5 linked regions of the Macaca mulatta genome follow. The protein of the gene in region 4 purifies or fractionates together with the protein of the main gene of each other region. This does not show direct contact. Links are inferred from orthologs where the notes say so. Each region holds a gene or a part of one and is shown on either strand. Other genes may lie near its edges. The genes, in order: P4HA2, CPSF3, CSTF2T, FIP1L1 and CPSF2.

Evidence for each region.
Region 1: the proteins of FIP1L1 (region 4) and P4HA2 purify together in Homo sapiens (co-immunoprecipitation; 3 studies listed by BioGRID and IntAct, with this or other methods). This does not show direct contact. The link is inferred for Macaca mulatta from reciprocal best matches to the Homo sapiens genes FIP1L1 and P4HA2.
Region 2: the proteins of FIP1L1 (region 4) and CPSF3 purify together in Homo sapiens (affinity purification with mass spectrometry; 5 studies listed by BioGRID and IntAct, with this or other methods). This does not show direct contact. The link is inferred for Macaca mulatta from reciprocal best matches to the Homo sapiens genes FIP1L1 and CPSF3.
Region 3: the proteins of FIP1L1 (region 4) and CSTF2T purify together in Homo sapiens (co-immunoprecipitation; 3 studies listed by BioGRID and IntAct, with this or other methods). This does not show direct contact. The link is inferred for Macaca mulatta from reciprocal best matches to the Homo sapiens genes FIP1L1 and CSTF2T.
Region 5: the proteins of FIP1L1 (region 4) and CPSF2 purify together in Homo sapiens (affinity purification with mass spectrometry; 7 studies listed by BioGRID and IntAct, with this or other methods). This does not show direct contact. The link is inferred for Macaca mulatta from reciprocal best matches to the Homo sapiens genes FIP1L1 and CPSF2.

Annotation. Positions count from the first base shown.
Region 1 is NC_133411.1:141,115,435-141,119,018, reverse strand, and holds part of P4HA2 (prolyl 4-hydroxylase subunit alpha-2 precursor), read left to right. Parts: intron 1-3,110; coding exon 3,111-3,181; intron 3,182-3,417; coding exon 3,418-3,517; intron 3,518-3,584. UniProt on the Homo sapiens protein: Catalyzes the post-translational formation of 4-hydroxyproline in -Xaa-Pro-Gly- sequences in collagens and other proteins.
Region 2 is NC_133418.1:115,401,205-115,405,281, reverse strand, and holds the start of CPSF3 (cleavage and polyadenylation specificity factor subunit 3), read left to right. Parts: upstream 1-1,270; 5' UTR 1,271-1,402; coding exon 1,403-1,452; intron 1,453-4,077. UniProt on the Homo sapiens protein: Component of the cleavage and polyadenylation specificity factor (CPSF) complex that plays a key role in pre-mRNA 3'-end formation, recognizing the AAUAAA signal sequence and interacting with poly(A) polymerase and other factors to bring about cleavage and poly(A) addition.
Region 3 is NC_133414.1:98,063,414-98,067,494, forward strand, and holds CSTF2T (cleavage stimulation factor subunit 2 tau variant), read left to right. Parts: upstream 1-1,514; 5' UTR 1,515-1,566; coding exon 1,567-3,429; 3' UTR 3,430-3,542; downstream 3,543-4,081. UniProt on the Homo sapiens protein: May play a significant role in AAUAAA-independent mRNA polyadenylation in germ cells. Directly involved in the binding to pre-mRNAs.
Region 4 is NC_133410.1:80,109,817-80,113,400, reverse strand, and holds part of FIP1L1 (pre-mRNA 3'-end-processing factor FIP1), read left to right. Parts: intron 1-1,469; coding exon 1,470-1,534; intron 1,535-2,184; coding exon 2,185-2,292; intron 2,293-2,664; coding exon 2,665-2,795; intron 2,796-3,084; coding exon 3,085-3,153; intron 3,154-3,584.
Region 5 is NC_133412.1:165,367,748-165,371,978, forward strand, and holds the start of CPSF2 (cleavage and polyadenylation specificity factor subunit 2), read left to right. Parts: upstream 1-1,365; 5' UTR 1,366-1,489; exon of another isoform or gene 1,490-1,712; intron 1,713-4,231. UniProt on the Homo sapiens protein: Component of the cleavage and polyadenylation specificity factor (CPSF) complex that play a key role in pre-mRNA 3'-end formation, recognizing the AAUAAA signal sequence and interacting with poly(A) polymerase and other factors to bring about cleavage and poly(A) addition.

The sequences.
Region 1 (3,584 bases), on a different chromosome or scaffold from region 4:
TTGGGTCTTCTCATCCAAGGGCGTGACAGGTCTCTCCATTTATTTATATCTTTTTAAGTTTTCTTCATATAAGCCTTGCACATTTCTTAAGTTTAGTCCCAGGTAGTTTCTTTGTTACTGTTAATTTACTTTATTTCTTCATTAGTATTTTAACTGGTTACATTATTATATTAGTTTACTATTCTATGCCAAACTGTTGATTTTAAAAATATATTTCATAGTAAGAGCTAATGTTTACTGAGTTCTTAACTGTGGCAGGAACTTCTAAATGCTTAACATATATATTAACTATGTCACAGTTATGAACAGCTGCTCATAACGGTGTCACTGTCTCTGTTTTGCCTATGAAAAAGCAAACTTATGCAGATTGCAGCTAGTGGTTGAATTTACTTATTCCTTTTTTGGTTTTTAGCTGATTCTCTTTGGTTTCCTGGATAGCATTAACACCTGGAAATAAGGAAAATTTTATTTTCTCATAATACTTGTAGTTCCTTTGTTTTTATAATCTTATTGAATCGCCCAGAACTTCTAGAGCATAATTACGAAGAATAGGAATCCTTGTCTCATTCCTGAACTTCCTGGGAATTCCTATGGTATTTTACTGCCAAGTATGCAGTTGGCTGTTGGTTTTGTTTTACGATTATTCTTCTGTTTCTAGTTCATAAAAGATTTGCTCCCCATTTGACATCTTTCAAAGAGATCTACTTGCTGCCATACCCCATCACTGATGATTGGGAGGGAGGATTTAGCTGGATTCTCTATTGCTCTGCTCCTAATAGAATTGTAGTGGCTGAGGTGACCAGGAGGCCTGACGCTCATGGAGAGACCTGAAATAGGTTCCTATCCTGGCCCCTGGACCTCATCTTAGAACACCTTGGCTTGAGGTACTAGGACATCTAGGGCTTTGAGTCAGTGGTTGGCATCATCAATGTGCCTGAGGGAGGGGGCTAGCCAGATGTATGGAGAATGGGGACTAGGACTCCCCTTACTACTCAGCTCCAGAGTCCTCCAGGAAAGAAAACTACTTTGCTGGTTGTGCCAGGATTTCCTGGGAGATTTCTTACCTGTTCTTCAGTTCCAGACACTGAGAACATTTCTGTGTGCATGTGTGCATGTGTGCATATATGTGTGGCTGGCCAAGGGGTAGTATTGGGAAAACATGTATTTGAATAGAAGCCATGTGAAGAGCCAAACAAGGATGGCAAACATGTTTGGCTCTTCACATGGCTTCTATTCAAAGATAAGCTGACCCCTCCTTTCTGGAGACTGTGAGAGACAGATGCTAGTCTGGCTTTGAAGTAGAGCCAATGAGCTTAATTTGGCCTGTGGGGAATGCCTGGCAGCTGTCTATGGGGTCTCTGGCCTGCTTTCAAAATAGCCCTGTGTTTCCCCTGGGGCAGAGCACAGCTGCTCAGAGCCTCTTTGTGGGTGTCAGGCCAATGCTGAGGCACAGATGTTTGGATGGGGTCTGGTTGTGGCTGCAGTTTTCAGGGAAGGACTGACATACGCTGGAGCTCAGGAAGGGCCGTGAGTAGGAGTTTGGGAGCCGTCTGTCCTGCTTGCGCTGGCCATCTTACCAGATCATGCTATAGCAGCACAGTGTCTAGGTTGGTCCATCTCACCCGCTTACTAGCCTTCTGGTCCATTTACTCCTCTCCATTCCGTCTGCCACCACCTGGCCTGGGCCACCATCATCTCTTGCGCTGACCTCTGCCGTGGCCTCACTAGCCTCCCAGTCCCCACTCTGGCCCCTTATTAGTCAACTCTCCATGAGTTATTCACAGTGATCCATTTTACATTCAAATTTTGAGTGTCCCTCCCCTGCATGAAGCCTTCCCCATTTCTCGTTGGCCACAAGGTTGCATCTAGTCCCTAGCTCCTGCGTGTCTCTTCAGCCTATTTTACTACTTCCCTTAACCTTTAATCCACACCTACTGCCACACCCATTTTCATTCCCAGGCCTCTGGATTGCTGCTCCTTCCCTGTTCCTGTAATGTTTCTCTACTTGGATAACTCATGTTAACCCTTCAGGCCTCAGCTAGGTGGTCTCCTCCCCTAGGAAGCTATTCTTGACACTATTCCCTGAGCTTCCACAGGACATTAAGTTCACCCATGCTGTGCTGCAGTTACCTGGCTGGTTTTCTGCTTTCCCCACTCGACTGAGTTGTAAGAGTGCAGGGGCCATGTCTCAGTTACCTAGCATAGTGCCAGGCACAAAGTAGGCACTCATCAATATTTATTAAAATCAAGGGGAAGTGTGTTGGGGTGGGAGTACCTGGGCCTGTGGCTGCACCCATGTGAGGTCATTAGGACAGTCCACAACTGAAGCACATGGACCTTTGCCATGTTGGCTGACTCTGGGCAGCGAGTCCCTCCTGGGGTTTCACTAAGCCTGTCTGTGGAGACTGGGGGAGTGAAGTAGATGAGGGGAGTGTGTTTGTAGTGTGTACATATGTGAGTGGGTGACTTCCAGGCAGTGGTTCACTTATTTTAACTCACAGAATCTTTTCCTGGTTTTATCATCTGACTTTTAAGGATCCCAAGGGAGTGAAAACTGTGCCATCTGTCTTTGCTTCTTGAGGCTGTGGGAACCCAGTGTGAGGTGGTACAGCAGGAGAGTGTTTGGATGGGTTTCTTGGCAGAGGAGCCCACTGAGGTTCAGAAGGATGGTGGAACTTGACCAAGTTGAGAGAAGTACGTAAGGCGGAGGCTCAGGGATAGTGGCACAGTCTGAATATGGTGGGAGTAGCTAAGCTCAGGCTGTGCTCAGGCAGGAGTGGTATGTGTGCCTGGCAAGGAAAGGGGCTAGCCAGGCAGATGCATGGATGGATGAAGCAGGCATAATTCTGCAGGCAATGCAGACCTGGGGAGGAGAAGGGATGAGCAGTGACCGAGCAGGGCAATAGCCAGGAACTGATTGCAGATTGGGAATGTGGAGGCCTCAGACTTTTGCCCTCACCTGGCCTGCAGCATCTTGGGGCCTTGGCTAGAGCCATTGGCTGCAAAGCTTCCTCCACTAGCATGACAGCAAATGTGGTCCCAGTGCTTTCTGGGAAAATACTCAAGGCAAAACAAACAAATCAAGTATTCCTTCTCCTCCTTCCTTCTAGCTTGCACGAGCCACTGTTCGTGATCCCAAGACAGGAGTCCTCACTGTCGCCAGCTATCGGGTTTCCAAAAGGTAAACAAAGAGCAGGGGTTGGTAGCTGCTCAAGTCTCAACTTCAGGACTTCTCAGTGCCTACCCTAGGAATGGGTGGCTTGCCTTTTCCTGCCTGCTGGCGACTCCTCACCCCTTGTTGCAGCAGGTACCCTGTACTGCCTGTTCGTGCTGGCCCTGACTCTGGGGACAGAGTGCAGGACCTCATGGAAGCCTGCCCTTCCATCTTCTTTTCTCTGCTCTTTTCTTTTTACCCAGCTCCTGGCTAGAGGAAGATGATGACCCTGTTGTGGCCCGAGTAAATCGTCGGATGCAGCACATCACAGGGTTAACAGTAAAGACTGCAGAATTGTTACAGGTACAGATAGTCCCTGGGACTGTAGGAGTTGGGAAGTGGGTATTTTTGGCTAGATGGTCTCACAAGG
Region 2 (4,077 bases), on a different chromosome or scaffold from region 4:
GCACAGTTCATTGATCTCAGCAAGGCAAAGCTGCTCGTGGTTCTCAGGGCGATGCTCCAGTCGCCCCTGCTTTGCAGCGCCCGGGACACCCTTCACCTTTCAGGCACTTGGCTACCTCTTACCTTTCAAGGTCCCTTTCAGGCTGCAGGCCTTCCTGGGATCTCAAGGCTGGGCTCAGGGACCCACAGCTTCAGTGTACCCCTGATCACAGCGCCACGATCTGCTGTGGTCTCTGATCTCACTCTCCCAGCTGCACGCTGGTCAAAGGCGGAGCTCAGGGACTCCTCTCTGCACAGCCAGGGCGCCTGGCAGGGGACGCGCTTACTGAAGCCGAGAACTTTCTGGGGTGTCTGTGACACCCCAACAGCAATTCCCAAGTACCAAACGCCTACCACGTGCCATGCACGGTGCTAGGTGCACAGATCCCTCTCACCCTCACTGACCAGCAAGCCTGAAGGATAACAGCCCCTTTCAAACGAGGATGCCAAAGCGCCCGAAGAGTCAGTGACCTGCCCAGGGTCACCAGGGTAAGGACGGATGGGGCCAAGCTCAGGGCCTAGGGAGAGCCGGCTCCAAAGTTCCTCCCAGACGCCAGCCTGCTTGGCACCTGTCTGTCACCGTGATGGAGCACCTTCCACCTACTGGGTGCGGAGGATGTGACAGCGAAGGGGACAGACAACCCCGACCCTGAGAGGCGGGAGGCGGCCGAAACGAGGCAGAGGAAGAGGCAGGGAAACGGCCCGCGCTGCCCGCCTTGCCTCCTCTCCCGGCTGGCAGCGGCTCCGGAAGCTACAGTCCACAACGCCCACGCCCGACCCGCGGTTCCAGGCGCCTCCACCCGCGCCCCGGGAGCGCGGACCCGCAGAGAACGCAGCCGGAGCCCAGGCATCCCTCCCCCGCCCTCCCTGCGGCCCCACCCATCCTTCCCGGCCGTCCGCGCCGCTCTCGGGGCCGTGTTCCCGTCAGGCCTCCGCGAGCTCGGCCCCGAGTGGGACGAGGGCTGGGCGCTCACCTCGCAGCCGCGGGCCCATCCTCCGGTTGCGGGCTTCGGGGTCCGCGTGGGAGCGCCGCGGCCTCCGGCACCCAGGCAGCTACTCCCGTTCCCGCTCCAGCGCCGGCTTTTCCAACGCTCCTGCCCACGTCCGCCGGGCCCCGCCTCCGAGACTAAGCGCAGGCGCAGTCCTGACGTCCCGCCCCCGGTTCCAGGACCCCGAGTGGTGGGAAGCTTCGCAAGGGACGTCCCCCAACCGGAAGTCGAGGGGAGGAGTCTAGTGCCGCGGGCTCCGGAGTGACGGAAGTTGTGCTCTTGGTGGATGGGGTTCTTCTTTCTTTATTTACCTTCCAATTTAGGAAGACCCCGGCGACCTGTTCCCCGCCCCCGCTTCGCCCTCACACTTTCGGGATGTCTGCGATTCCTGCTGAGGAGAGCGACCAGCTGCTGATCCGACCTCTGTAAGAGACCAGCGAGAGAGGGAATGAGGCCCAGGGCTGTGAGGGGTGCGAGGGATAACCGGAGACTTTGGCCTCCTCCGTCGCCCGCGCTCCCACCGTCCCCGGCAGCCTGCCTTTGGTCCGCGCTTGCGGGCCAGGCTTCTCAGGCTCGAGGGGTTGGAGGACCACTGATTGGAAGGGGCCTGCTAGAGTGAACGGGATTTTGCTTCTTTATCAGTTTCAGGGGAGGGTATGTTGGAGTCGGAAAAAAAAAAGTTTTCCGGGGCCACCGGCCGCTTTTCGTACACGCTAAAAAGCGTTTTCACTTAGCACAAGCACGGATCTCTGCGCGTCAGGGCAAGCCGTGAGAGAGCCGGTGACGCTTATGATCGACAGGATGAGAGGAGGACCTGAATGAGGCTACAGCGGTGCAGGGAAGAATTAAGTCTGTTTCCTAACACCAGGGCTTCACATGTGCCAGAAGTTAGAAAATATTAGGGACGTGCCGTGAGTTTCGATCTTCTCAGCTCAGGTCCTAGTAGAATAAGGAAGGTGTAAAGCTGGAGAGGAGAAAGTGCAGAGGTGTTAGGGACAAAAACTCAGCCCTCGACTGTCCGTAAGGAGAGTGGCCTTTCAGTGGACATGGTCCTCATCAGTCGGGAATGCTGCTGAAGGGGAGATGCAAGATGCTGAAGGGGAGATGTAGGAACTTGGATTCCTACAGATGAGCATTTCGAACCCACAACATGTTTATTGTTAGATGTTAGTTGGCACAACATGAATATACGCTTTCCAAAAGGTAGAAAGTATCTCCTTTACACATTCGTTCAGTAAGGCTTCATTGAGCACCTGCTTGGGACATAGTCCGTTTCCTTCTGCTTAGATCACACCTGTCATGTCTTCCTGTGATGAGCAAACACTGTCGCTTGATCTGCTAACTCAATTCTTTAGCAAGTGTCAAGTGTCAAGCACCACACGTGGGGATACAGATGCAAAGGAGGGCCCAGTTAATTGCTCTCGCCCTTATGGAGAGAATTACAGTGCACAGTGGGAAGTATTGGAGAGATACTTTGGTATAATAGGAGACCATTACTTTGAAGTCAGACCTGAAGTACGTTATCTACTTGACCACTTAGTAGGACAACAACCTCACTAAACCTGTTTTCTCATGTGGAAATGAGATAAAACTTGAAGAGTAAAGATCGCGGTAGGTGCTTTGTAAATAATAGCTAATCTAAGAGGGCAGGTAGGCATTGCACTGAGCACTGTGAAAGTATGGAAAAGGGATTTCTGACAGATTGAGGAAAAAAGGATACCTCATGCATCCTGAAAAATGTGATGCTTGAGCTGAGTCCTCAAGAATGAGTAGGAGTTGAAGACTGGGGGGCCCAGGGTGTTCTAGGCAGTGGAAGTGGCACATGTGAAAGTGAGAGTGGCCACAACTTGTGGCCAGATTCCTCATGGCTGTAGCTAAAGAGTTGAGTTAGCAGATGAAGCGACAGGCTGTTGAGGTCCAGTTTAGGAAGCACCTCATATACATAGGAGTTTGGACCTTTATCAGATAGTCAATTACAGGGAGCCAGCAAAGGCTGTTAAGCAAGCATGGATATTGTGAGGAATTATGTTTTAGGAAAATCACTCCTGGCAGCAGTGTAGCAGCTGAATAAAAGGATGGATTGAGTAGAGCAGGTTCAGTAAGATATCATTGAAAGATTCCAAGTCTAGGTGATCAGAGCCTGTAGTGAGTGACATGAGTGTGAGAGAGTACGCAAATGAGATCTTCAGGATTTTGTGGCTGATCAGCTGTATCTGGAAGGGTGGTTGTGGGGAGGGAAGGCAGGGCAGAGAGGATGTTATGATGACTCGGATTCCTAAGTTTGGCAGTTGGGAAAGGGTAGTGTTCTTCACTCTAGGAGTGTAGGAAGTGGGGCAACTCTGGAGTAAATTTGGGAGTTCGGTTGTTTCATAACAGCTTTATTGAGATACAGTTTACATACTATACAACTCACAATTTATATACCATACAACTCTCAGTCGTTCTTAACATAGAGTTATACAACCATCACCCCTCTCTCATTCCAGAACATTTTCATCACTCCCAAAAGATACCTTGTATTCATTAGCAGTCATGGACAATCCCCACTACCTCTCCAGACCTTAGCAACCACTAATCTACTTCTCTACAGATTTGCCTGTTGTGGACATTTCACAGAAGTGCGATCATACAATACATAGTCTTTTGTCTCTGGCATCTTTCATTTAGCGTAATCTTTCCAAGGTTCAAAATTGAGGAGTTTTATTCATTCAATAAGTATTTTTTGTGATTTACGTAGCAATACAGCAGTGAATAAGGTGGACAATGCCTCTGTTCTTAGGAAGCTTTCATTTAGTAGCCTGAAGCAAGACATAAGTGGATACAATAACTTCATGTAGTTGTAAGTATTAAGATAACATGATGCTGGGTTGCGGCTTGCTGTGAAGGGCAAATTAGAGGAGGTAGTCAAGAGAAAGCATCTGAGAAGGTGACATTGGAACTGAGACCCAAATGATACAAAGGAGCCAACCACATCAATATCTGAAGACAAAGCATTTCAGGAAGAAAGCAGAGCAAGTAGGGGGCATGTGGTGGAAACCAGTTTGGCATAT
Region 3 (4,081 bases), on a different chromosome or scaffold from region 4:
CTTCAAAATAATTTTTTAATCCAGTATACAAAAATATTACATTTCAACTTATAAACAATATAAAATTGATGAGCTATTTTTACATTTTTTGGTATTTGATCATTAAAATCTTTCATGTGTCTTACATGCATGGCATACCTCAACTGGAATGTTAAATTTTGACTGGAAGTACTTTCTTTTTATTTCTTTTTTTGTTTGTTTGTTTGTTTTATCTTAGTGTTCTGTGAAATGATTTTTATTTAAAATACAATTTATTACTGCAAAAGTAGATTTTATACCCAAGTTGTCATAAATACTAAAAAAGTTTTCCAATAGCCTACTGAACATTAGTTTTTATATTTAAATTAATAAAAAATGAAATTTAAAATTCAATTCCTCAATCACACTAGCTGCATTTCAAATATTCAATATGCGTAAGGCAGTGTAGATCTGGAGCTATGCGAGACCAACCTGGGTTAGAATCCTGACTTTGCCTCTTTCCGGCTGCTTGTCCTTGGGAATTTACCTAGCCATCCCCAAGTTTCAGTTCTATCTTCGAATTGGAGTCGAGGAAATCCCACAGTGAATATGTTTTAACTCCTGCCTGGAAAGCTAACAGCAGAAGACAACCACTATTTGTTTTTCCCTTCATGGAAGTGGTGGATTCACTGCATGATATAATAAAAATCAGAACCAATCAATGTAGGGATAGTTAAGTAAATTTCATTATTCCATACTCTGAAGCCATAAAATGCTAATAACTAATTTATTTAATCACCAATTAATACTGAAATCGGTTATTATTAAGGAAGAAAACCGTAATATTAGGAATAGCACGACTGCTGCCCGTGTGCTCAAAAAAACCTAGAAGGGTCTGCCACCCATCCATTAACAGCGGTTATAGGAAGCCACAGAGCGGGGGCAGGGTCCAGCAGGCACACGCTTCAGTTTATATTTCTTGTCAGTTAATTTCCAAAAACGTTGTTCTAAAAAGGAAATATAATACTGTTTTACTTTAAGGGGCAAATCTCAAATGTGCTTTGAAACGACTACGCTTTTGCCTCAGTCTGGAATGTGATTTGAAATCTAGCTTAACTATACTATAATAAAAGGCCACATGAAAATACTTTGTCAGAACGAAAAACATGCCGCCTTAAATCCGCTTTCGGTTGGCGGTTTCCCGCCGGTGGAACGGAAGCAAAACCGCCTTTGACGTCAAGGGAGGAGTCCCCTCCCAGTTACTATGGTGAAGTCTATGCGGCCATCTTTACTGTGGTCATCTCGCACCAAGGGTGTCGTAGCGGGGCTGTTGGGGCTCCACAGAAAGTCGGCGGAAGGTGAAATGGGAAAGGAATCATGCGACTCTGTAATAAGAAGCTGACAGAACCACGAAGGATCAGGGACTTAAAGCATTAGATAACTTGTTAGTGGGATGCAGGTTCCACAGGCAAGCAGAACGATTCAAGCGAATTAGTAAGGTTTCTGCCCGGATCTTGAGAGCCGCTTCCGTTGCTCAGCGGAAGTGTCGGTCGCAAGAGGACAGACGCCTGGAAGAATCCGCTATCGGCAGTGTGCACAACCGGAATCATGTCGAGTTTGGCGGTGAGAGACCCGGCAATGGATCGATCACTGCGTTCCGTGTTCGTGGGGAACATTCCGTATGAGGCAACTGAGGAGCAGTTAAAGGACATTTTCTCGGAGGTTGGTTCTGTTGTCAGTTTCCGGCTGGTATACGATAGAGAGACGGGAAAACCCAAGGGCTATGGCTTCTGCGAATACCAAGACCAGGAAACCGCGCTTAGTGCCATGCGGAACCTCAATGGGCGGGAGTTCAGTGGCAGAGCGCTTCGGGTGGACAATGCTGCCAGTGAAAAGAATAAGGAGGAGTTAAAGAGCCTCGGGCCTGCAGCGCCCATTATTGACTCACCCTATGGGGATCCCATCGATCCAGAAGATGCCCCTGAATCGATTACCAGAGCAGTAGCCAGTCTCCCCCCGGAGCAGATGTTTGAGCTGATGAAGCAGATGAAGCTCTGTGTCCAAAACAGCCACCAGGAAGCTCGAAACATGTTACTTCAAAATCCACAACTGGCTTATGCGCTGTTGCAGGCGCAAGTAGTGATGAGAATCATGGATCCAGAGATTGCTCTGAAAATTCTTCATCGGAAGATACATGTCACACCACTGATCCCAGGCAAATCTCAGTCTGTGTCTGTCTCTGGCCCTGGCCCTGGCCCTGGTCCTGGCCCTGGCCCTGGGCTCTGCCCAGGACCTAATGTTCTGCTGAACCAGCAGAATCCACCAGCTCCTCAGCCTCAGCATTTGGCTAGAAGACCTGTGAAGGACATTCCTCCTCTGATGCAGACTCCTATCCAGGGTGGAATTCCAGCTCCAGGGCCAATACCAGCTGCAGTTCCCGGACCTGGTCCTGGTTCCTTAACTCCTGGAGGAGCAATGCAGCCCCAACTTGGAATGCCAGGGGTTGGCCCAGTGCCTTTAGAGCGGGGACAAGTGCAGATGTCAGATCCTAGAGCTCCTATACCTCGTGGACCCATGACTCCTGGTGGTCTACCTCCTCGAGGACTGTTAGGAGATGCTCCAAATGACCCACGTGGAGGGACTTTGCTTTCAGTCACTGGAGAAGTGGAGCCCAGAGGTTATCTGGGTCCACCCCATCAGGGTCCCCCCATGCATCATGCCTCTGGTCATGACACTCGTGGCCCTTCCTCACATGAGATGAGGGGAGGGCCATTAGGAGATCCCAGACTGCTAATTGGAGAGCCCAGAGGCCCCATGATAGATCAAAGGGGTCTACCTATGGATGGTAGAGGTAGTAGAGATTCTCGAGCGATGGAGACTCGCGCCATGGAAACTGAGGTCTTAGAGACACGTGTAATGGAGAGGAGAGGAATGGAGACCTGTGCCATGGAAACCAGAGGGATGGAAGCAAGAGGCATGGATGCAAGAGGATTGGAGATGAGGGGCCCTGTCCCCAGTACAAGAGGTCCTATGACTGGTGGAATTCAGGGTCCTGGTCCCATTAATATAGGGGCAGGTGGCCCTCCTCAGGGACCCAGACAGGTCCCCGGCATTTCAGGGGTGGGGAATCCTGGAGCTGGTATGCAGGGTACAGGCATACAAGGAGCAGGCATGCAGGGAGCAGGCATGCAGGGGGCAGGCATACAAGGAGGAGGGATGCAGGGGGCAGGCATACAAGGAGTGGGTATACAAGGAGGAGGCATACAGGGGGCAAGCAAGCAAGGTGGAAGCCAGCCTAGCAGTTTTAGTCCTGGGCAGAGCCAGGTCACTCCACAGGATCAGGAAAAGGCGGCTTTGATCATGCAGGTTCTTCAACTAACTGCAGATCAGATTGCCATGCTGCCCCCTGAGCAAAGGCAGAGTATCCTGATTTTAAAGGAACAAATCCAGAAATCCACTGGAACTTCTTGAAAGGTTTTAGAAAATATTTGGCTGTAGTCTCAAAGTTTATTCTGTAGCATGGAGAATGGGTGCAAAAAGCTGACTTCTGCATCCCCACACTTGGATTAGGGTTTCCCTCCTCCTAGAACCTAATCTTACTTTTTGTTCTTTTTCTTTCTTTCTGTTTTCCTTTTTTATTTTTAATTGAGGGTGGGGGGAGGAGGGAGTGTGTCTGTTCACTTTAAGTTACTGTAAAATAACTCTGAACATGACAACATTATGCCAAATAAGATTACAAAGAATAAGCAGCAATATTGAAGTGTCTACAGTATGTTAACTACATTTTTTAAATGTTGAGTAAAACTTTGTGAAAACTGCTCATAAAGACTAAAAGTTGACCTGTTAAAACGTTAATGTACTAAGATGGTTTTAAGATTTTTGGTTGTATAACAAAATAAAGTTTACCCAAAAGTATAAGATACATTTTTTGGTAAACCATTTAAAATACAAAATCCTATTGGAGGCAATAGGATAAGCATTGTCTTAGTGTTTTAGAATTATTTTTGAAATATTAGAGTTAACAGGATAAGGTTAAACTTGTATTAGAATTGTTTTTTTCTAAAGTTGTGTTACCTGAAAAATCAAGGAGTACACCTGGTTTACTGTCGCTTCATTTATCCCA
Region 4 (3,584 bases):
AATGTAATGTGAGAAATATATCATTGAAAATACCTATGACTTGAGGTCTTACTGGTATCTTTTTTTTTTTGAGACGGAGTCTCGCTCTGTGGCCCAGGCTGGAGTGCAGTGGCGTGTTCTCGGCTCACTGCAAGCTCTGCCTCCTGGGTTCATGCCATTGCCCTGCCTCAGCCTCCTGAGTAGCTGGGACTACAGGTGCCCGCCACCACGCCTGGCTAATTTTTTCTATTTTTTAGTAGAGGGGGGGTTTCACCGTATTAGCCAGGATGGTCTCGATCTCCTGACCTCGTGATTTGCCCGTCTCAGCCTCCCAAAGTGCTGGGATTACAGGTGTGAGCCATCGCCTGCCGTCTTACTGATATCTTTTTGTTCAGTGGGAGTTGGTCCTTCTTTGCCCATTCCTGTTTTCTTCTAATTTCCCTAGTAACAGAAAAGTCTATTTTAATTAGTATATTTGATAATACTACGCATATATAAGAATCCATTATATAAAAAAAGTAAAGAACTATCTGTAACCCCTTACAGAAAATTTATATGAGGCTCATTTATACAAGTATAAATGCAATGAAATATTCAAATAATTATATACGAGTCTTAGATGTCTTGGCCAAGATTACACTAACAACTGACAAAACATTTGAATGTGGATTGGTCCAACTTCAGAAATTTTTTTCTTTATCACTGTGTATTATATTACATCTAAAAAGGTGCAGCTTAATACTTTTTTCAAATATATGCATTCATGTAACTACAACCAGATCAAGATACGAAACATAATTGGCATCCTAGAAGTTTCTCTCATTTTTCCTCTTGGTCATTAACCACCCACCACCGGTAAACACTGTTCTGCTTTCATGCTAGACTTATTTTTGAATTTCATGACAATAAATTTCTATTATGAACTCCATGAATGGTTGAAAAAGGATTTATTAACAATATCAACTGTGGTAAGAACTGAAAGGCCACTGGATTTAACAACAAGTTGGAGGAATTTTACTTATGCTTAAGATTGCTGTATGTGTAATAACTGGCAGGCAAGGAAATGAAGAAAAGGGGTATAAACTATGTTTCCCTTCTTAGCCTTATTTCTTGTGAAGTTTGTTACAGTAGAATGTTGAGTTAGTGGCAAAGAGATTTTTGAAATGGAAACAAGTCAGTTTTTTTTTTAATGTTTTTGCCTTTTATTGAGCAGGTGACTTTAGAAACTAGTTTAAAATGTTTTTTAAAATGTGTATTAGCTGGGCACGGTGACTCACTCTTGTAATCTCAGCATTTTGGGAAGCCAAGGCGGGAGGATTGCTTGAGCTCAGGAGTTCGAGACCAGCCTGGATGACATGCTGTGAGATCTCATCTATCCAAAATTTAAAAAATAAAAATAGAAATTATAAAAAATAGAAAAATAAAAATAGAAATATTACTGCTTTGTTTAAGCTTTTCAGGATAATTTTTGGTTTTTTGTTTGTTTTTAGGAGTTATGGTACAGCACCTGTAAATCTTAACATCAAGACAGGAGGAAGAGTTTATGGAACTACAGGTAAAGTTTGTATTTTCTGTTGCATCAGTAGAGAAATAAGGCACATATCTTAAATAGGTCTTAATCACTCTTTTTTTAGTGGGACACAGAGTCTGACTTTGTCACCCAGACTGGAGTACAGTGGCGCAATCTTAGTTCACTGCACCCTCCATCTTCCAGGCTCAAACCATCCTCCCACTTCACCTTCTCAAATAGCTGGGACTGTGGGCGTGCACCACCATGCTTGGCCAATTTTTGTGTTTTTATGTAGAGACCGGGTCTCGCCATGTTGTTCAGGCTGGTTTTGAACTTTTGAGCTTAAGTGATCTGCCTGCCTTGGCCTCCCAGACTGTTGGGATTCCAAGTGTGCGCTGCTGCGCCTGGCCAAGGTGATAATATAATAGCTCTTTTTAAAGGTAATTTTTGACCATACATCACAGGGACTGGTAAATTTTTTCTGTAAATAGTCCAGTAGCACATATTTTAGGCTCTGCTTTGTTTGGAATGCTTGCCAGGTTTTTTGCCAGGGATAGTAAAAAAATGTTTGTTTTCTGTTTGTGTGTGTATGTGTGCCAGGAATAGTAAAAAGGTGTTTATATCTTCTGTTTGTCTATGGTATGTCCCAGCTTCTTGCAAGTGTAGCTCCTTCATTTTGTAATTTTATAAAACAGGAACAAAAGTCAAAGGAGTAGACCTTGATGCACCTGGAAGCATTAATGGAGTTCCACTTTTAGAGGTAGATTTGGATTCTTTTGAAGATAAACCATGGCGTAAACCTGGTAAGACTGTTGTGGATTATATTAATTTCAATATTTTTAGTGTGAAGTCATCAGAAAATTTTTTGAGCATCAATTTAGAATTTTATTTTTTCATTATAATTTTAATTGTCTTAAGCAAATGATGAGTAATAGTGACTTGGATTATTAAATCTTACTGGCGGCCTCATATTACTTAAAATGTAGACTTTATTATAATGACATTTCTAAAGGAAATAATTTGATCAAAAATTTTATGGTCTTTTTGCCACCATAAATGATAGAGTGATAACTGATAGAAGTCTAAATTTATATTTTTATAGTTTAGTATATTTTTGATGCTGCATAAAAATAGAGCTGAAATATTTGTACACTAAAGATGTGTTTTATCTTTAGGTGCTGATCTTTCTGATTATTTTAATTATGGGTTTAATGAAGATACCTGGAAAGCTTACTGTGAAAAACAAAAAAGGATACGAATGGGACTTGAAGTTATACCAGTAACTTCTACTACAAATAAAATTACGGTAATTAAGAAATACTCCGGAATACCCTTGGCTTGTCTACCGTCCCACTTTTACTCCCCAAATAAATCACTTCCCTATAAAAGTGGTTAAATGATATACGATAGTTTAAAAATTCCATTTTGTTTACCATGTTTGTTTTTCCCTTCCCTCCCTTTTAGAGTTTTGTATTAATGATTATCTGATGTTCTTACTTTCAAATCACAGACTAGCCACAGCTAGTTTGTCTTTATATGGCCTATTAATTAAATATTATGTGGTATCTTAATGGGGAATATGTTATTTAACTTAGGCCGAAGACTGTACTATGGAAGTTACACCAGGTGCAGAGATCCAAGATGGCAGATTCAATCTTTTTAAGGTGAATTTTAGTAAATTATCCTTGGTTGCTCTCATTTTTTGTTCTTGAGTCTGCTCCCATACCACTACTCAAGGGACAAGATTAAAGTGGAAATAGCTACCTTTTTTCCAAACCTTCAGCTTCCTGGTGACTTACAAATTTGCTGATTGTTGTTTTATCTCCACTTTTGCAAGCATGTGAATTTATAGCCTATTATACTAACAAATGCCAAGTAAAACTGTTCTTTGCTATATGTTGTGATTTCATTTTGAGTTGTAATACGTGTTTGTAGGATAGAAAAGTTAGTGGCAACAGATTAAGCTCTCATTGTAGATAATACTCTAATCTTTATCAACAGAATTGGAGACTTTTTTGTTTTCTTTAAAAAAAACGGTAAGGAAGTGGCATACTGTTTATCTCTATGATACTGGTAACACTGATACCATTGGTGT
Region 5 (4,231 bases), on a different chromosome or scaffold from region 4:
CAGCTCACTGCAACCTCTGCCTCCCAGGTTTAAGTGATTTTCTTGCCTCAGCCTTCCGAGTAGCTGGGACTACAGGCACGTGCCACCATGCCCGGCTAATTTTTGTATTTTTAAGTAGCGACGGGGTTTCACTGTTGGCCAGGCTGGTCTCGAACTCCTGACCTCTTCATCCGGTCACCTCGGGCTTCCAAAGTGCTGGGATTACAGGCGTGAGCCACCGCGCCTGGCCATACGTTTTTCTTTTAAAAGGCAAGGTCGGCCAGGTGTGCTGGCTCACGCCTGTAATACTAGCACTTTGGGAGGCTGAGGCGGTTGGATCACGAGATCAGGAGTTCGAGACCAGTCTGGCCAACATAGTGAAACCCCCGTCTCTACTAAATATACAAAAAATTAGTCGGGTGTGGTGGCGGGCGCCTGTAAACCTAGCTACTTGAGAGGCTGAGACGGGACAATCGCTTGAACCCGGGAGGCGGAGGTTGGAGTGAGCGGAGATTGCGCCATTGCACTCCAGCCTGGGTGACAAGAGTGAACCTCTGTCTCAAAAATAAAAATAAAAAAGCAAACCAAAAGGGTAAGCGCATCATTTTGGTGCAACGGTGTCGGCTCAAGAGGATTTGCGGTTTGGAAGAGAGCGAGGTTAGCGAGGAGACAGAAGGCTAGGACTTATATGAACGTAAGCTGCTTGGGGAGGGGAGGCAGCCAGCGTCTTCCCTGCTTCAGGCCAGGCATGGGATACCGGCTAGCGGGCGGTCACTGGGTCACATCTCTACGGACGTTTTCCTGTTATAACAGCCTCAGAAAACCCATTCCAAAAGCTCCGGCCCGGAAATCCCATCCTCCACCCGAAGAAAACTCCATTTTCCTTTCCCGTCACCTTCGCTCGGAAGCCCCGGGGAAGCTCAGACCACCCCTCCACACACGCACAGCACCGAGGGCCTGCCTAGAACCCTCCCCGTCACCCTCGCCGTGATCCGCGGCGCGGCGGCCCCCCAGGCTCCCCAGACCCACCTGCAGCCTCAGTGCCAACAGGGACCCCGAGACCAAGGGCAACTCAGCCACCCGCGCCAGTGGAAGCTGCGACCTCGGGACCTGCCATTCGCCGCGCCGGCACGGAGCAGAGGGGTGACGCCAGCAAATCATACTACTTCTTCCTCCTCAAGGTTGACTCCTTTTTTTTTTTTTTTAGCTTCCAAACATTATCAATAATTTCTGAATACAATTTCGCTACACTCAGACGAGGCGTGCAGGTATGAGCGCCGTCGCCTTCCCACAGCCCCGTGCCCACCCCCCCGGAGATGGTCTCGCCCTGGGTCCTCCTCGTTTACACCGCTCGCCTCCAGCTCCAAAATGGCGGCCGCCGCTGGGGGGGCTTCTGCCGGCCGGTAGTGCCCCGCGCTGCTAAGCCAGCATCGGCTTTTCCACCTCTTGAACCTGGATTCGCTTAGGGGTTGGGAAGGGCAGTGGACGGCGTTGGGGGAGGCCTGACGAGGCAAGTGAGGGCGGGAGAAAGGAGTAAGCCTCTGGCGGGGGAAGGCGGCGTCACTGGCCCTCCGGGAGCGCCGGGCCCCGACTCCGACCCGGTCTCCCCCAAGGACTCGCCCCTGCCGCTTCGGCTGCGACTGTCCCTGTCGTTCCTGGCAGAAGTGGTCAGCGAGGGAAAGAGAAGTGACTTCTCCATGGGTTTCAAGCTCCCAGCTGTTTTGCGGCAGCTCGTACGGTTCCCTCCCGGGATCTTCTTTCCTCCTTTCTGCTTCCCTCTGCTTACCCTTTCATCTCTTGGCGCTGGAGGAGTTAAGCCGACGCCAGCTTTAGCTGCTTAGCCTCGTGGCTACGGCGTTCTCAGCCTCCCCCGCTCGGGCTCTTCCCGTCGTTTTGGGTTGAGAGACCACGAGGTTACTAAGCTCTGGGCACCGCGTAGGCGTCCTTTTAGTTCATCGACTCCAGAGACCTTTAGGATGTTTGTACCACGCTGTACTAAAAGGGTCTCGGCCCTTCGCGCCCTCCCGCCATTGCCCCCCCAGCGCTTCCACTATCACTGTGAAGTTATAATTCTTTTTTGACTTCGTACTGTTTTACGTGCTCTTTAGAAAACAAGAGGTCAGACTGTAACCCCGGCAAGTCTGGCCTCCTGTGACCAGGCGAACCTGAGCTATCATTTATACCCATCCCCTAATTTTTAATTTTACAATCCCTTTAACCCCTTTTTTTCCTTTCTTTTTTCTTCTTCTTTTTTTTTTTTTTTTTAAATAGAGACGGGGTTTCACTATGTTGCCCAGGCTGGTGTCGAACTCCTGGGCTCAAGAGAACCTCCCATTTTGGCCTATGCTGGGATTACAGGCGTGAGCCACCATGCCCGGCCTTGCAGCCCCAGTATGAAATTGCTGCTTTCCCTCAACTGACAGGAAAGAGACTTCCCCACTCAGTGAGTTCCAGGGCTAACCCAAACTCCTCTGTTTTCCCTTGGATTTTGCTTAGTTCACCTTAGTTGTCATCAACATGCACGGTCATGATTTTTTATTTTTTATTTTTGAGAAGGAATCTCGCTCTGTTGCGCAGGCTGGAGTACAGTGTCACGATTCTCGAGGCACTGCCACCTCTGCCTCCCGGGTTCAAGTGATTCTCCTGCCTCAAGAGTCACGAGTAGCTAGGAGTACAGGCGCGCACCACCACGCCCGGCTAATTTTTGTAGTTTTAGTAGAGACAGGGTTTTACCTTGTTGGCCAGGATGATCCGCCCGCCTCGGCCTCCCAAAGTGCCGGGATTACAGGCGTGAGCCACCGCGCCCAGCTGATTTATTATTTGAGACGGGGTCTCGCTCTGTCCCCCAGGCTGGAGTGCAGTGGTGCCATCTCAGCTCACTGCAACTTCCGCCTCCCGGGCTCAAGCAATCCTCCCACCTCAGCCTCCCAAGTAGCTGGGGTCACCAGCGCAGCCACCGCGCCCGGCTACTTTTTTGCGTTTTTAGTAGAAATGGGGTTTTGCCATGTTGCCCAGGCTGGTCTGGAACTCCTGAGCTCAAGCGATCGGCCTTCCTCGGCCTCCCAAAGTGTTGAGATTACAGGCGCAAGCCACTGCGCCCGGCAACATGCACGATCATTATTGAGAGGGCAAGTAACTGTGAGATATTGGGTATTGGATATACAACGATGATCACTTTTACTCCTCTATACATTGAAAATCCATTCAAATACTTTATGTGCCCGCTTTATAACAAAATAACTTGGGTTAGGGCAACAAAAAGGCTTTATAAAGGAGTAAATATGTGAGTTGGGTCATGTAGCATCAAAAGGAATTTGCTGAGCTCAAAAGGAGAAGGTAATTTCGGGATTCAGTACAGGAATATAGAGCTTTGAGAAGCTTTAGCATACTTAGGGAGAGTGGGATAATCAACCTGCTTGAGCATTTAGTGCATGAGTGATTGGTGAAGCAAGAGGTAGGTTAAGATCAGCTTGTGAAGGATCTTGATTTCCAATAGGGAGTTTAGATTTTATTCAGTAGTTAGCAGGAATCCAGTGGATATTTTGTGCAAGGAGTGAGCAGGAGGGTATTTGTTTTTTTAGGATGGTCTCTGACAGCTATATAGAGGATCAACTGGGAACAGAAAAACTAGATGAAAGGAAATTGGCAATCATTCAGGTAAGGCAATGAGGGCCTCCATGGAGGCAGGACATAAAGGAGGTCAGAGAGACACTAAGTAAATGTCAAATGGGATTCACCTGCTGACTGCTAAGTTAATGGTAAGAAGGTGACTTGAGTTTTTATTCTGGGAGAATAAATGGTTGGCAATACTATTAAAACTTAGTCTGAGACATGCACACAAACATACGATGGTGCCAACCTGCACTTTAGGGGTGACAACACAATGCTCTATAGTGTAAAGCATTGATTTTTATGGTCTGGAGTCTAGATCTGCACTGTTATAGTAGTCACTAGCCACATGTAGCTACTGAGCACTTCAGATGTGGTTAGTCTAATTGAAATGTGCTGTAAATATAAAATACACAGTGGATTTTGAAGATTTAATATGAAAATGTAAAATATTCAACATTATATGTTGAAATAATATTTTGGTTCTACTGGGTTAAATAAAATACATTAAAATTCACCTGTTTCTTTTTCACTTTTCCATGTCACCACGAAGAAATTTAAACGTACATTTGTGGCATGCATTATATGTCTGTTGACAGAGCTGTTCTAGTCTAGACTAGATGTGGGAATTTGTAAGGAGGTG